Arabidopsis thaliana: one gene and its partners. The protein of the gene in region 2 interacts with the protein of the main gene of each other region in a pairwise test. Each region holds a gene or a part of one and is shown on either strand. Other genes may lie near its edges.

Region 1 (4,882 bases), on a different chromosome or scaffold from region 2:
ATAATTAAAAAAAAAAAGAAGAAGAAGACAAAATGCAAATGAGATTGGAGTATCCGCTCCGAAATCCATGACCATAGTATGTGATAGTCTGGGCATTCGAATTTTGGATCGGATCAGATTAGATTAGGTCTGATAGAATCCGATTAGAATCCAAACAATTTTATGATTCTAATTTTTTTAGACTTAAATCGGTTTTTATTGATATTTTAGAATCCCAAGTGTATTCGAAACCAAAATATGTATGGTTTTAATTCTTATTTGGATTTGAATTATCCGATGAAATCCAAAATATCCGAATTATCCGATCAGAATTATCAAAATTATTTGAAATTTACTATATCAAATATGAAATTCTGAATTACACGATCCGAATTGAGCATAAAATTAATAATATGTAATGTATTATTTCGGATTGGTGGATATCCAATCGGTCCGAAACCGAACCAATCAGCTACGAATACTGAAAATTAACACACTCTGAGAGAGTTTACTGAACCCAGTAATCTGTTTAGTGTTTATACCCAAAGGAACTTTGTATTTAAATAGAAAATCATTTAACAAAAAAAACATATTCATCTCAAGAACAATTGACGTAAGTGTGATAATCCTTGTCTGGTTTTGCATTTTGTAACTAGTTTGGTTTTGCATTTTGTGTGATAATGAATCAACTCGAGAAATTCATGTACAAGTGTAACCACAAAACAAGTATTGTTTATGTTTTTATCACACTATCAAAACCATCTAATCAACAACTTCACTGCTAAACAACTTGAACTTATTAGCATCAAGAACAAGTTTCCTAATGGAGGAGAAAGCTCCCATGAGTCCTGCACAAGTGAACACAACCATTATCGTCATGTTTATCCAATACGTGAAGCTCCGTCTGGTTGGCTTATAGGTCATGTTGTATAGAAGCATTGGCAGCACGAAATCGAGTGGGATAAACCCAAACGCTCCTACCACCGCGTTTATATCCCCAAAGAACGGTAGCATCGCTGCCATGAACCCGCAAAACGCCATATATAGTGTTCTTAGTATCAAACGCGGCACAAGGTTGCGTTTTGAGAATATCCCTTTTGTTGTATCCGCTGATTTCTTCTCCATTATTTCATACGCAACTTGAGAATACACCTAACCAGTTACCAAAAAAAAGAAACATTTAGTCACTCGTCTCACAGCCAAGTAACATCGAATAACGATCACACTAGTTATAAACTTACAAGGCCAATGGCGAAAAGCTGAAGAAGGACAAAGATGACAGCTAAGCCAATCACCACGATAGGAGCCAGAGTCGGTCCTTCATCAGGCATTAAGTTCTTGAGGATATTAGAGCTCGAATTGTTACCAAAAACCCAATATCCCGAAATTGCAGCAGAGTAAAACGTGAAGAAGATCACACTATAACACAACAATAGTCCTTTCAACATCTTCCCTGTGGCTGGTGGAGCAAGAGTTGCCTGCATACATATAATCATCTCATAAATCTCAAACACATAACATACAATGTTTGTATTGAATAAATTGCAAACATTTCTCACCTGTATTTCGGGTAAGATTCCATTTCCGAAAATAGCAGCTATGATCGAAATTGATGTGAAGGCACTAAAAACTTTCCCTGAATCCGAATGCTCTAGAGAATACTCACGTTTAGGAGCGTTTTTCGACAAACCTGTAGAACCAAAACTGGGCAATGAATCTAAATTTTCGAACATTAGTAAGTTGTTGTTTCTTCGCTAACGTAAGAATCATTATACCTAGGTTGATACAAGCCCCAACGACGAGGAAAGTATATCCTAAGCTGAGAAGCAGAGACGCACAGTTAATGTGTCTAAGAGAGTGAAAACTTGGAAGCTGTGAGAGAACCATCATCACAACAGTCACCATAGCAATGAACTCGTAAAGCTTCAACGTTCCTTGCGGGAAAAGACTCGAATACATTATCTGTGTAGTAACACAAAAACAGAGGATGATCCGTACGGTTCTTATAGTACCTTGTTTAACAAGTAATCAAAATTTAGGTTTCTTTCTTACATCAAGACATTGACCTGCAAGTAGAATGGCGCCAATACCAATTCCAGTGTTGATAGCTGTTTGAATAAAGATCACTACATAAAACATCAATCCAGATCCTGCACCACATCACAATAACCGGCTCAAAATTCGAAATCGGCCCTTAAACCCAAAACTCAATAACCGGAAAGACCAGACTTTATGACGTAAACCGATCTATAAACCGAAATACACAGGCCTAACCTAGACCGGTACGGTAAACTAAGACACGTGTGATGATGGCGAATCTAACAAGAAGTCAAAGTATCCAAATCGAAACACGATCCAACCTTTACGGATTTATCCAAAAAAAGCAAATTAATAAATACAAAGAAGAGATTTTGAATGATACCAAGAACATCGGCGGCGAGTTCCCGGAAACGGATGTGACGGCGGCCGGATTTTTCACAGTGATCAAGAACCTTAGACATGAGGTAATAAGCGTAGAAAGTAACGAGTCCCATCGTCGTTAAACAAACAAACCCTAACCACCATCCTAATCCTCTAAACGCATATGGTAATGTCAATATCGTCGGACCAACAATCGCCGTCGTTAGATGAAATCCGGCGTGCCACCACTCGCCTGAGAATTAATTCTCAAATCAGTTAAAATTCCAAAATTGGAGATTGATATCATAAATATATGGGTTTAACCTTTTGATTGGAGGACGAAGAGAGCACCGGCGTCGGAATCGAGTCGGGTAACAGGAAACGGGTCGGGTCTGGGAGGATCCGTCATCGATGAATTTTAGTGTGAAAGAGAAGAAGATTCTACAAGTGAATGATTTATATATGGAATGATGATGATGGAGAGCACGGTGGAGAGGTGGGCGCATGATAGCTGGTGATAGTTAATGTTTGCTATAATGTTAAATTCCGTTGCTTCTTTAAAGAAACAACCTGTCATAGTGAGAAAAGGAGACATATTTTGCATTTTCCTCTTTATTCGGGATGTGATAAAATTTTGCTTTTTTCAGATTCCTATCATTAAATTAAAAAATTAGTTTTATGATTCCTATTTTCATACATTTCCACTTGTACTTTACTTGTGCTTCTTTGCATGTTTCAGATTTTTTTTTGTAAAAATAAAAATATTAAATTGACAAAACAAGGTTTTGAAATTACTTTTTGATATTTTATTTAGAAATTTTCAGTAATGTATTGTTTGTAAATAAGGAAACAAATTTTAAGAGTTTTTTTTTTGTTGGAATAATCCAATATGATTTATATGAATATCTATCACATAATTTTAGATTTAATGTATCTTGGTGAATTAATCAGATAATAAAGTAATTGGGAATTATAACGTGTTAGACTCTTTTCAAATTTTAAGGTCAAAGTATAATCACTGTCTGATTTTAGAGGAGAAAGTAGTGTGTTTCCATAAACTCATAAAAGTGAATAGAGTTTCTATTTAAAATTTAATAATTTAAGATATTGCCAAATTGTACTTAATTTTCAATTAACTTCGATTTAGGAAATATCAACTAGTTATGGAATTTTTTCTCAAATATTTGATTGATCTAACATCACCAAACCTTACTGGCTGACTTATTTTGTGTATCATTCACATGGCTGACTTTTTCGGTTGTGAAAAACACTTGAAAAAAAAGTGGTTGCTATTAAAGAATAAACATTTCAAACATTTCAAACTAGTTCACATTAGAAATTCAAGGCGAGATATAACGACTGCTAATGCAAAAAAAAAAAACCCAATAAAATAAGAAATGAATGAGAGAACGAAACTCTGTAAAGCGATGTGTATAATTTTGTTATGAAAGAGCAAAGATGATACTATAACAAATTCCAAACAAGCAAAAGCACTATACCAACAGTAGCATTTAATCGTTCTATACAATCCGACGCCCAAAGAAAAAAAAATATCAACTCCATTTGTGTGAGCCCCTTTATTCCCTGACCTCCCATAAAAACCACCACCAACTTTGCCCACAATAAACCAAAAATTTTGACTTACAAAATACAACAAAAGTTAACAAACATATAAAAGTGCAACAAAATCGAACACAAGTACACCAAAAGTCCCCAACCAAAAATACCTCTCCACCAGCTTCTTGATTGACCAGAGTCCAAAACCTAATAAACACATATATGTTGTTTCATTGTTTGCATTCATGTGAGGTGGAAACTAGGCTTGGGAAAGATAAACAACGTACCATGGCACTGAGTCCTTAAGTTCGCTGCGACACTCTTCTTTGGCCTCGAGCCACAACGGTCTTAGACAAAACCTCCTCAAGATATTCACAACGACTTCTATGGTGATCGATCCAAACACATAATTGCCTTATCGCTTCTCTTTTCTCTTCTCCAAGTCCCATCAAAGTCTCTTTCATCATCTCCTTCTCTTTTTCATCTTCTCTTACTTTTCCTCCAAGCTTTTTTATTTCTTCATCTTTCTTCTCTATCTCTTTATTCATCTTCTCCTTCTCGTGATTTCTCTCTATCACCCAATTCGTCGCAGTCCACAGTATTTTTGATGCCTCCATTACAGTTTTCTCGTATCTCCCCTGTTTCTCCGTGAGTTTTTCTGACATGGATTGAAACCCATCTACTGTTATGTTCACTTTATCTGCTATCTCTTTGATCATACCTCGATAAGTCTCATGTGTCATGGTGAGATTCTTCTCAAGCAATGCTTGCTCCTCTAAGTGCTTAGCCTCTTCTTTCCTGAAAGCTTCTTCTTTCTCTGTTAGTACCTGTTCGGTTACTCTCAGTTTCTGGTTCGACAAGCGTAGCTTAACCTCGATGTTACTGATCTTCTCCATGAGAGTTTCGATCTCGTCTCCTTTCATTTCCAGCTCGTTACGTAAACTCT
Region 2 (4,938 bases):
ACTCAGAGTGCATTGTATGGTTGCATAAACCTCACATGTAAATCTCAAACGGCATAATGTCACCTGAAACTTCATACCAAACCAATTTTCAAAGATTAAACATATACTGGAGAAAATGATGTAACATGTCAAAGCACAGTCAATTTCTAAACAAACACTTTAATCTCAGGAGAAAGAAGAAAAACAGATTGCTTGGATCAACCAACCTCGTGGATTCTGAAACTTTGTGAATCTTGTTTCACGTTTTTTTCCATCAAATTTATAATTTTGATAAATTTGGAATCCAAATTTCAGAGTATGGCCGAAGAGAAGATGGCCGGAGAGGTTTCAAGAGATATCCATTAAAATCCAAGAGCGGTGAAAGTGAGAATAGGCGTTTTTGTGACGAGTCGAGAAGAAGAAAATTCGATCTCGGAACAGTAGAAAAGTAGCTCGCGGGAAAGATATCGGAAATGTTGCCGTTTCGGTGGTGGAAGGCATTGCGGCGATGGCGTCGTCAGATTGTGGTGACAAAGACAAATCGAAATTGAGGAAATTGGGAAATTGCGAAAACCGGGTCCACGGAGAATACGGAATGTCGACCACAGTGGATTATTGGTCGGTGAAATTAAACACGTATAATAAAATTAAAATAAAAGCTCAAAAAGTGGGAAACCCGCGACAAGCTAACCTCCTTATTTGTGGCCACGTGTATGGCCACCATCTCACTTCGTTGATGAATGTCTAGTAATGCCTAGTAAGAAACCAACATATATTATTCAATTTAAAAATATATGTATTTAATATTTTACATTAACTATAATATTTAAATAGTAATTCAGATTAATATTAATATTAATAAAATAAATAAATTCTTATCGAGACAAATTTAACGGAACGAATTTTAAAAATAATATTAATAAAAAAATTAAAATATCATTAATATATTGTTTTAATATAGTTTAAGTTTTAAATTTATTATTTTTTGATACTATCAATATTATACATATAAATCAGTCTGATTTACAAAAATTATATAAAATAAAATATATATAGTAATATAATGTTTTTAGTAACAATTAAATTATAAAATATAAATATCTCAGAAAATGATATAATTTAAAAACTTATATATAATAAATAATTTTTAATTTTAATATTTTTATTAAATATTACATGAGATGAGTTAAGAGATTACAAGACGGTTTATATTGTGGAACGGATTATAGTAGATGAGTTTGAATCAATATTTATAAATTTTTAAAATATCAGTAATATGCTGGTTTAATACGAATTAAATCCTCAAGTTTTAATTATTGTTCTTAAATTCGTGGTATATGTTACTTAATAACAATCGTAAACAAAACAAAAAAAATATTATATAAAGATAAATAATTTAAAATTTTATATTTTATATATATATATATATATTAGAAAAAAAAATTATCATGCGGTATATTACGGATTTAAAATCTGGTTTTATAATATACACCTCCCAATCAAAACAAATTTTACAACTACACCAAAATATTTGTCCCTAATTATTTTGAGACCTTAAAATCTTACAATGTAAAATTTGGTAGGGGCCTTAAATTATTATTTTTTTTCTTTCTAACAATATCCACACGCTTTTATGCCGACATGGTCCAGGTGTTTTCAAACTACATATTTTATTATTTTTCGTCAACCGTGAAATAACTATTTTATATTTCCTAGAATTTTTGGTAAACTGAATAAAAAATATAAAAAAATGCAAGTAACGACGGAAGAAATCATAAAGTAATAAGAAAATAATTTAAAAGAATGGGTACATGCGTCAAGCCATGACATTAACAAACAAACCGAAAAAAGAAAAAAACTCATCTTTCTCCAAAATCACACAAATCTTCTTTATTTGTTATTCTCAATCCTTCCTTCATCCCCAGGTTTCTTTCGATTCGTTGAGTCATTCAATTTTTCCATCACTGGGTTTTTCTCTCTGAATCCGATCGGAGAATCCAGTCGATTACTAATCTAGCGCTCTCTTTTTTTCTACTCGATGACTTATCACGAAGAAGACGATACAGTTTCTGAATTTCGAGTTAGAGTTGAAGAAGATGGAGTTGATAAATTAGGTCATTATGTTAAACTTACTGAAGATTTCGAAGTACATCGACAAGAAACAGAACAAGAATCTTCATCATCACCGTCTTCTTCTTCTTCATGTGGACAGAAACGATCTGTTTGGTTTTGGATCAAGCTTGGTCTTTTCTTCACTTTTCTAACTGCTTTGGGTCTCGCTGGTTACAAATGGCTATACCCTTTAATCATGGATAAGGTTTTCAATTTCCTCCAATGATTTCTTGTTGAATTGATCTTCTTCTGAAAGTCTTCTTCTTTATCTATTGGGTTTGATTATAGTTTCAACTACTGAATTAGATCCTTAGTGTATAAAAGAGGTTCCTTTATGATTTTGGTTCATGTGAATTGAAACTATGTATCCCTACGATTAGCTCAGTATCCAATAACCAAAGTGAGGTTTCGTTGTTGATGTTCTGTGTCTAAAATCGGTAGATTTTCGATGCTGGTGACAAATTCAGTCAGTGACATATTTGGCTCTGTTGCTGATTATGGGATTATCCATTTAACTTTTGTTTGCAGGAGCTAATCCCACTCATAAAATGGGAGATGGAGACATTTACACACCCTGTGTGCGGTATTCTTGTGTTTGCATCAGTCTCTTTATTCCCTGTGATACTTATTCCAACTACGCCGTCAATGTGGGTGGCTGGGATTACATTTGGTTATTTCTATGGCCTTCTCCTTACTCTTCCAGCTGTAGCTATTGGTGTTTCACTTCCTTACTTCATCAGCTATCTCTTCCTCAACAAAATTCAAGTATGTGTCTCGCTTAAGAACCAGTTATATTCTTAGTAACGACTACTTTGTATGTTGCTGAAATTGATGAATGTTGCAGGGTTGGTTAGAAAGATATCCAGATCAAGCTGCAATGTTGAGAGCTGCTGGTGGAGGCAGTTGGTTTCATCAGTTTCGTGCAGTTACCTTAATCCGGATTTCTCCATTTCCTTTTGCTGTATATAATTACTGCGCTGTTGCAACTCGTGTGAAGTTCGGTCCTTACATGGCTGGTTCTCTCGTAGGCATGGCGCCGGAGATTTTTGTCGCAATTTATACGTAAGTGTGGAAATGACTTACAATTTTCTTGGTAATGAATGAATGATTGATTTAGCATCCTGATAGTATTTTTGTTTGTTTTGGTGTTTGCAGAGGGATTCTTATAAGGACATTGGCAGATGCATCCACTGCGGAACAAAAGGGTCTCTCGATTCTTCAAATTGTTCTCAACATTTTTGGTTTTGTAGCAACTGTTGTGACAACTGTTCTCATCACTAAGTATGCGAAAAGACAGCTTGAAGTTATGAAGAAGGAGAAGGAAGCTTTGTTGTTACAGTAATGGAGACAACAACCTCAGAAGTTATGTCTCTGCTTATTCCCAAAGTACAGGTTTTCGTCCATGATGTGAAAGAACTCTTGATTTTTGGTCTCTGTTTTGGTTTGTTTATAGCCGAGAAATGAAAGGGTATAAAAGAAATTATAATGACTATATAAACACTAACTAAACTCTCTAACACGATTTAATCTTATTTGCGTTTTCTCAATCTTTTGTTTTTTGATGTTTGAAAAGAATGGATCAATTGAAAACTTAAGATCATTACTCCTCCTTCGTTTTCTCGTTTATATTCTCTAGTAAGTATGAACTAACTATGAAGATTGGAAATTGTCTAATTGGTAAATAGTGCAAGTGTTGTGTCAGATATTCGTAGGTGACTAGTGAAAACTTGCACTTCGAATATTATGGGCTGCATTGAGAAAAAGCCCAATATAGCTTAGATGGCCATTTAATTGTTTCTATCAAAATCAAATGCGTCTCTTTTTCGAACTATAATGGTCAAGAGTTATTTGTAGCCTACGAGTACGACATTGCTATGCGTTCGACATATTAAATGGTGGAATTGAAGAAGAAACCTTAGCTATGATTCATCACAATATGTATGATCTATATTTTTTCAATTTGAAATAATGGAGTTATTCTAGACCAAATCGAATCTTTTGTTAAATGGATTTCTACTAAAATTAATCAAAGACTGTTTTAATTACCATTTTTTTTTTTTTGCGGTTTGTGAAACCAGTGTGAATCTGCCCAAGTGAAGAGTGCGAGAGATAAGAGGAGAAGAACTATATGGAGAGTTCTTGGGGATTTGAAGCTGCGGTTTTTCTAGTATCGGATTTGGACATCTATATTCTGCTTGAAAATTCACACTAGAAAATGAAGTGCTTCTGCGAGTCATTTGTCTCTTGCATAAGATACAAAGTGGAATTGAAATAACTTTATGTGAAATATATATAATTCTAAAATATGAAGCTAAATATAAACCAATTTTCTACATAAGCTTTTTCAAATTTTAAAGATATACTTACAAGAATCGATCAATAATTGATTCAGTTTTTTTATTTTTTTTTATTTTTATACTGGTGCATTTGAAGCTCTCCTAAGTCCTATAACACAACAAATATGTTCAACTACTCTCATCCCGAAATAAATGTTGTCTTAATTCCCTTCAAAAATGCTTTTGGTCCAAAACCCAATATCCTTTGAAACACTTTTGTCTAAAAGTATATGTAAAGCCATTTACATTTTGTCCTACCTATGAACCACAAAATTAAATATTTGTCTTATTCTCTAAATATTTCTTTTAGATTAAAGTATGTGTATTCAATCAGCAGTAAAAAAGTTACATGTCAAGACTTAATGTAGTTTGCATTTTCTGAATATTCTGGTTTGAATTAAACTATATATGCTTCTGACTCGGTACCACTTTCAACAGTCTATCTATGTGTCTTTTTCATGCGAATAAAATCCATTGCTCATTAATGGTAATTTGTCATCTGGTGAAACAC
Region 3 (7,632 bases), on a different chromosome or scaffold from region 2:
TTTGAATGGATATTTGTCAAACAATCATTTTTTAAAATTGATTTTTTGCACTCATCCATGAAATCAAAATTGACCTCCATACATAACATTTTTGTAAGCGGTCTAACTATCTCAAAGAAATATTTTATAATTTTTTTGTAGAACCCAACATATATGTCCAAAAAAACTTCGAATATCTTTCACTGTCTTTAGAAGTTGTAAACTCGTCATAACCTCGATTTTTTTCCTCGACACCTTCAATTATGTTCTCCGATATTTGGTAACCAAAAACAACACCATTTATTCAAATTCACTAAGCAAAAAGGATGATACGATTATACCAAAAGGAAAGAAGAAAAATAAAAAATCTTACTTTTAATCGTTATAATTAGGGACTGATATTCTCGTAATCAACTACTATACATTACAATTCTACATAACCAATCGAATATTGGATTTCCTCAAGTGTGCGACCTTTGGTTTCTGGTACGAGTTTTGCTACAAAAATAACAGTAGCCCCACAAACAGTAGCGAAAACATAAAACGTTCCTGAAAATTTAAAACTTGTGCCACTATTAGATAAAGAACAAAATTTATTGATAAAAGCAAAATTTAAACAAATTTTATACCTGCCGGATTCCAATTCATTAGAAAGTTAAATGTAAAAGATATAATCCATGATCCGACCCAGCTAACAACAGTCACGAGGCTTCCGGCTGATCCTTTTATGTCTATTGGAAATATCTTTATCATATAAAACATAAAATTAATATCTACGCACCAACTAAATTGAATTAAAATGTTATATAAACAAAGAATCAATAAATAAATCATAAAGGAACATAATTTATATACACTGATCAAAATCATACCACATACAACCATATGAGAGTTAAATAATTTATTATTTAATTTTAATACTAAACCGTAGGTTTATGATATAAAGTTTAATATTTCTTAAGACATCGATCGGATTATTAAGTATAAGAGTATGTTTAAAACCAAAGAATTTTTATGAATGTTACTTACCTCTGACATAATGACCCAAGGAATCCCACCCATCCCTAATGAAAATGATCCGGTGTACACCTGAAAAAATAAGATAAATTTATCATTTATGGACGTCTACGATCTTTCAAAGTATGTGTGTGGGTTCTAATTTCATCCAATAGTTGGTTCGCTATCCCAGAAGCCACGAAATACTTGTTAATAACAATAATGATATTATTTGTTCTTTTCTAGTAGTTTTTCCTCACCGACATAGTATTCGGAAATTTGTTTTAGCAAGTCATTCATCGTAAAATTCCTTCAACTCAAACACGTCTACTATATAGTTCTTTCAGAACGAGTTACAGGAAAAATAAACGTATTTTGATGATATAGATGTGTATATCAGTTCTTCTATTTTTTTCATGCACCATCTTATTGGTACAGTCATTCCCACTTTCAAACAGCAACGTTTCAGTATGCCAAAACTATCATATTCATATCAACTATTTTCAAACTTTTCAAATTGAGGATAAAAAAAAAGGAAATCTAGATTTTAGTCGTCAAACTTACCAAAACGCCTGTAAGTGCTAGATATGAAGCATCTCCACTCAATTGCTTTACAAACTACAACAGGATGAACCCAAAAATTATAGTACATAATATGAAATTATAAACATTTTGAAGCATATATGCAACTACTTGAGAAGTTTTAATATTAATATACAATCAAACAATAAAAATTAATATTTCTAGATATTTATCATCTAGATCTAGACATAGATCGAGAAAATATATTAAATCTCTATTAGAAGAAAAAATTATAATTATGGTAACAATAAAGTCATATGGCACCACTGTAGACAAAAAATATTCAATTTTTATACTGATATTAATATACTAAAACATAATATGTTAAAAATAGATAAAATCAAGATATTATTTTAAAATATAAATAAGGAGAGAACCTGTAATGAAAATGATAAACCGACGAGGAAACACCCGATACATGTTCCAGTAGCAGAAATCTGAAGAGATAAAATATTAAATTCATTATATGTAATTCTTTCAACATATACATATTGACATATATATAGGGACTAGGGAGGCAATATATAATTATCCACCAATGTATAATAATAATAATAAAAGATAAAAAAACAATAATAAGTTGGAACTACAGTTATAACATAAATTCTTTAAAAACTTTATTTTTAATATAGTGAGAAAAGGTACTTGTAAAAATTACTTTGTATTTGACTAATAACATTATAAAAAAATGTTAGTCACTTGTTTTTTCTTACTAGAAGTAATGGTCGTCTTCCTGATTTATCCATCAACAGTACACCTAAAGTTGTCATAGGGATCTGGAAAGAAAATTCGTCTCAGCTACAAATAATTTTAAGAAATGATACATTGAATTTTAAATGTTAAACAATTATATATTAATTGTAATTATTTTGGCTTTTCAATTCAAAACAAAAGTGGATTAGACCATATTATTCATATATCACTCAACGTCTCATTTCTTTAATGTTAGGTATTTCTAACATGTTACCTTGATATATGGTTCCTCTACGGGTTTATCTCTCTATAATCTTGTTATAGGATAAATTTTGGGTCAGATTAATTTTTGTATTTGATAGGTAAACAAATGAAACTCAGATTAGAACGATTTGGTTTGTATCGGAGAAGCGTGTGTTCATTTTATAATTTTATGGTCATGATCGTTTAGTAGTCGCCAGTGATGGTCGTTTGGTAGTCGTTAAATTTAGCGACAGATCCAGCGACCTATCGCATCGATCAACAATCTCCAGGAATTAGTCGTCGCGACTGATCGCTATCCTGCTCTCTTCCTTCTCTTTCGAATGGAAACAATTCACACTCTAACATTATATATTCTCTTTCTTTCTCAGGTTTTTCTTCCCTAAAAATCCTTTAGTATAATTATATTATTTTTGTAATATATATTTGTATTAGTTGTGTTGTTACCCTATATAAATATATATTCATTCACTTAATTAACCATCAAAAAATTGGGGAAAATAAAATAATAATACCCAAAAACTTACCTGTACGACCACCATCGCAATCATTCCAATTTTGGAAGAAACCCCTACAAAACAAAAAATTAAGTTGGTTAGTGAAGTTCTTTTTTAATTTTTGGGGTTTAGGCACATTAATCAATATTAAAGGTGCATGTACCAGCAGATTCGAAAATAGAGCTAGCGTAAAAAGCAATTCCATTAACCCCTCCAAATTGTTGCAAAACCATCAGACCAACTCCCACCTAAAACCCACTTGGCATTTCATCATAGAATAATGAAAATAACTACTTATTGAACAATTTTATAAGTTAAAAACACTTACAACTAGAGATTTAGCATACTGTGGCTGGAACAGATCTACTATACTACCTTCTGATAAATCTGTAAGTCTTCGCGTATAATCCTAGAAAATATAGAAATACAGGAGATTTTACACTTTAATGGAAATTTGTAAAAAATGTAGTGAGCTCAAGAAATAGAATTTAGTGTTACTTTACTTTGATCTCATTAGACTCATATGAAATATCTGCGGATTCACCACGTAATCGTTGCAATGCAATCTCAAATTCTTCCCATTTGCCAACTTTTGCCTGAGAATTTTTGCGAACAATTATTTTCTATAACAATGAAAGTTTTGGGTTACTTAGCGTAATGATTGGATAGACTAGATTTGGCATTAGGTACATAAAAACTATTAAACTTGTAGTATGTTGACGGATAACGTACCAACCATCTAGGAGACTCTGGGATGACAAATAATCCCATCATTTGTACAACACATGGTATCATTCCTGGAGCATAAAAAAAAAATTAATTAACAATTTTTTAGTATGAGTAACTTATTTAAAGTATGTTGACGGATATTACCGATCAAAGCTAAAATTCGCCAGCCTATAAAAGAGCCCAAGAGATATGTGACTGAGACACCCAAACATATCAGTAACTGCAATGTTAACACTGTTAAAGATCGATGGAGATGAAAATAATACTTTTAGAGTATATATTTTGTAACTTCTGATTTAATTTTTAAAAACTAATTTAGTTCTTGTATAACATATTCATAAAAACTAATTTAGTTATTGTATAACATATTCATACCTGATGAACAGTTGTAAACCCACCACGAAGACCCTTAGGAGTGATTTCAGCTATGTATACAGGAACCTGATCATCGATTAACAAAACAATCTAGATGAAAGAACGATACAAAATCTACTGTACTATAGCTAGCAACAACTTTCAGCTACATAAATCGAAGAAGTTATCTTTTCATTGTGTTGTTCCTCGCATGCGCAATTTTAAGCCGGAATACCAGCTAGTAGTACATATGAAATATCATACTCTTGGGGGCAACAAATAGTTTCAACATATAATCTAGTATCTAATATGACCAATATAGCTTTCGTTTTAAGAAATTAACAATTGTAGAAGGCTAATGTTTATTGTAAATAGATATATAAGAAAAGTAGAGATATATTTATTTAGATCATTAGGTCACTCATCTTACAATTGATCATCGAATTTGTTTTCTTGTAATCACCACAATATTTTTCATTATTCAAGCTACTAGCTAGAGTTTATAGATTTTACCACAAACGAAAAAACGCCCATTCCATAACCAACCAAGAATCTCCCAACGTCAAGCCAAATTGCAACCTTAATAGACAAAAACCACATGGTAAATTTTAAGTACTTCTTGAAGAAATATAGTTGATGAGAAATACAGAGAGATATATAGAAAAATACTAAGCTAACCTTAGAAAGGTAGATTGCTAACCAGCCGAGAATGCAAAACATCTCCGAGAAACCCATAGTCTAATCACACACACACACACAAATAAATGATTTATTTACCAGTTTGACGCAAAAATGTAAATATTCGCTTGTCATGGAAAGAAAGAAGAACAAATTTTACAGCTCGTCTGCCTATCATATCGGCGATTCGTCCACTCATAGCTGCGCCGATCATTGCTCCAATTGTCAGAATCGAACCGAAGAGCGAGTACTGCATGTAGTTTAAAAACATTTATAGGTGATATATCTTGATTTTTACGATGATGTTTATATAATTTGTCATCTTTCGTAAAGGTATGCTTATTTCTTAATTTTCTACTAAATGATATTTTTTCCACACCTATAAACCTTAAATCAAGACGGAGAAAAAAAAAGAAAAAAAATTCTAACCGAAATAGAGATCATAATTAATAGCCGGACACAACTAATTTATCTCAACATGCAAGCATTTGGAGTAGGACCAGTACGTCTACAGTACAAAAATTCAATTCTCCACTCATTTTTTTTTCCGTCAATTCTCCACTCATTATTAGTACAAAAATAGTGAGATAATCCTTTAAATTTTAATTCTCCACTCATTATTTTCTTCTAGTATCATAACCCTTTCACAACTACTTGCCTCAATTAAAAAAAAAAAAAAAAACTACTGCCTCAATCCATACTCATTGATTAGATCAGTAACTAATACTATACACATAAGTTAAATGTACTTAAGTATATTTTACCTATCTAGCTAGCAAACAAAAACATATGGCATAATAAATTAAAAGACAAAAAAATAAAATAACAGTTTACCTCTGCCACAGAGAGATTCAACTCCTTGGTTAAATCCGACTGAACAGGTGATGAATATCCTATCTGCCAAAATTTTCAACGAAATTAGAAATTAAGATTCAAACACAAAACACAACACACAATTACTGAACAAAAGCAAAAATTAGTAATTGTAAACTCACAGCTGAGCCAAAGACAAAGGAACCAGACACGGCTACAAAAGTGGTGAGCAAGAGAGTAGTTGTTATTGTCGCCGATGAGTCTTGATTCTCTTTGTTAATAAGTGAAGTTTCAGGAGCAAGATTAGCTTCATCGATTTCTCCTCTCATTTTCTCTTTCCTTTTTGTGATTCTATCTTTCTTAGTGAAATACTTGAGTAAAGACAAAGTAGAGTTGTTGGAGAGATCTCAAGAACTAATATATAGAGAAGAGATAAGGTTATTTTATTATTTTGTCTTTGTCTTCAAGTTGTTATTATATATAGAGAAAAAGTGAAGAGTAATTCACAAATATATATATGCAAAGTAGTCAGTCGTATGTAGTCGTTTCATTTTCATGTGTAGTAAGTTTATGCGTTTGTATTTTAGTGGTTTAAACAACTAGGTTTATGTCTTCTTTTTTTTGTTTTTTCTTTTCTTTTTTTGTATTTTTAGTTTTGATTTGAATTTAAGATCCTAGAGCATATGCATTGCAAATATATATTATCTTTTAATAGGTCTATGAAACTATCTGAAGCACACACTCTATAGATGGGAACAAGCAAAGAACCAAGAAGAGAATAACGAGTTCGAGTAAGAAGAAACTAAGACCAGTAGCAATCGAACGGGTAAATCTCTCTTGAAAAAAGTTAGTCCTTCAACGAAAAAGAGGAAAGACATACGTATTTCATGAGATTTATAATGGTAATCGACCAGACGATCAATCATTTATCTACTTCTCCTTTAAGGGTTTGCCCAATCTGAATCGGTCGATCCGGATACACTTATATTTTCATATAAATACTATCATATAAGAACTAAAATCCTAAGCTTTTCATATATAGTTTTCACTTATGGTTAGTTGTAGTAGCTATTAGCAAGAGCTCCACTGCTCCGCCATCAACAGCTCCAAGATCTGAAATGAGATCGAAGCAGAGCTCAAGTTCAGCTAAAGAGTCAAAGAAAGAAAACGACGTCGCTCAGCTTAACAAAGGAAAATGGTTATTGGGCCACTCACCAAACAGGCCCAATGACAACACAACCAACACAACAACGAAGCCCAACAAGTGTTCTTCCTCTTCTCAACAGACAAGACCACCACCTGTGCAAGAAAACAAATCAGAGTGAAGACAGAGAAGAGGAGCGTCTGTACGGATCCAATCAACACAAAGAACAGATTTGGTTGTTTGGTGACCTCCGAAGCTTGATAAGACAGAGACAGCTGTCAGTTTACAATCATTGAAACCCTAGCATTGTTTAGCTATAAAAGGGAACCATGTTGTAACCTAAAGATTAAGTGAAATAATACAAAGCAAAGTTCACTCAAAACATTACCTAAAGTAGCCGTCTTGCTCTTACTTTCAGTAGCCTCTTAGATCTAAACTCTTTTGGGCTAACATCACTAACATTTATTCAATTGTTTTAGAATTTATTGATAATCTTTAGTTTTCTTACATTTTGTATTTTAATTGTCATAATAATTGAGTAGTCTCATTCATAGGTGATCGTTAGGCTAGATTAGGGTGTTTAATGTTTGATTCATGATATATAGTTGCATAGTCTCATCACTTAGAGAAGAGCTCAATGCTAGTTAAGTTGACCCCTGTTGATTTAGATCTTTCATTTCACGCCTAGAAGGTGTTAAATAAAATGCTTGAACACTTTCTGAGTAAACTGGATTCAGGGTAACCATCTTCATTTGGGTGTTTCCTTTCTCTTATGCTGAGACTCTTCCTGAGTAAACTGGCTTCCATGCTCTTTTGTCTCTCCATTGTTGTTGTTTCTTTTTTCTTCTGATGATCATACTCTTTCTTTTTGTTTAAGATACAGTTAAAGAGAGAGATAGAGTAAGA

What was found. Proteins that work in one complex are often made in the same cells at the same time.
Region 1: the proteins of AT4G12000 (region 2) and AT5G41800 interact in a protein complementation assay, tested with the Arabidopsis thaliana proteins (one large-scale study listed by BioGRID).
Region 3: the proteins of AT4G12000 (region 2) and AT1G54730 interact in a protein complementation assay, tested with the Arabidopsis thaliana proteins (one large-scale study listed by BioGRID).

Annotation. Positions count from the first base shown.
Region 1 is NC_003076.8:16,731,748-16,736,629, reverse strand, and holds AT5G41800 (Transmembrane amino acid transporter family protein), read right to left. Parts: upstream 2,968-4,882; 5' UTR 2,789-2,967; coding exon 2,704-2,788; intron 2,633-2,703; coding exon 2,402-2,632; intron 2,130-2,401; coding exon 2,032-2,129; intron 1,942-2,031; coding exon 1,755-1,941; intron 1,670-1,754; coding exon 1,539-1,669; intron 1,458-1,538; coding exon 1,221-1,457; intron 1,132-1,220; coding exon 742-1,131; 3' UTR 537-741; downstream 1-536. Other genes in the region: CIP1 (COP1-interactive protein 1), read right to left, coding at 4,239-4,882.
Region 2 is NC_003075.7:7,192,022-7,196,959, reverse strand, and holds AT4G12000 (SNARE associated Golgi protein family), read left to right. Parts: upstream 1-1,743; 5' UTR 1,744-2,017; coding exon 2,018-2,296; intron 2,297-2,619; coding exon 2,620-2,856; intron 2,857-2,935; coding exon 2,936-3,153; intron 3,154-3,246; coding exon 3,247-3,433; 3' UTR 3,434-4,427; downstream 4,428-4,938. Other genes in the region: AT4G12005 (uncharacterized protein), read right to left, coding at 1-69, 207-254.
Region 3 is NC_003070.9:20,422,750-20,430,381, reverse strand, and holds AT1G54730 (Major facilitator superfamily protein), read right to left. Parts: upstream 6,037-7,632; 5' UTR 5,912-6,036; coding exon 5,765-5,911; intron 5,667-5,764; coding exon 5,604-5,666; intron 5,020-5,603; coding exon 4,930-5,019; intron 4,830-4,929; coding exon 4,770-4,829; intron 4,671-4,769; coding exon 4,605-4,670; coding exon of another isoform or gene 4,581-4,604; exon of another isoform or gene 4,179-4,580; coding exon 4,113-4,178; intron 3,958-4,112; coding exon 3,882-3,957; intron 3,806-3,881; coding exon 3,741-3,805; intron 3,605-3,740; coding exon 3,512-3,604; intron 3,418-3,511; coding exon 3,337-3,417; intron 3,257-3,336; coding exon 3,172-3,256; intron 3,083-3,171; coding exon 3,039-3,082; coding exon of another isoform or gene 2,988-3,038; exon of another isoform or gene 2,334-2,987; coding exon 2,271-2,333; coding exon of another isoform or gene 2,253-2,270; exon of another isoform or gene 1,995-2,252; coding exon 1,935-1,994; intron 1,594-1,934; coding exon 1,540-1,593; intron 1,069-1,539; coding exon 1,009-1,068; coding exon of another isoform or gene 937-1,008; exon of another isoform or gene 724-936; coding exon 609-723; coding exon of another isoform or gene 592-608; and 4 more. Other genes in the region: AT1G54720 (early-responsive to dehydration protein-related / ERD protein-like protein), read right to left, coding at 6,628-6,758, 6,845-6,982, 7,455-7,551.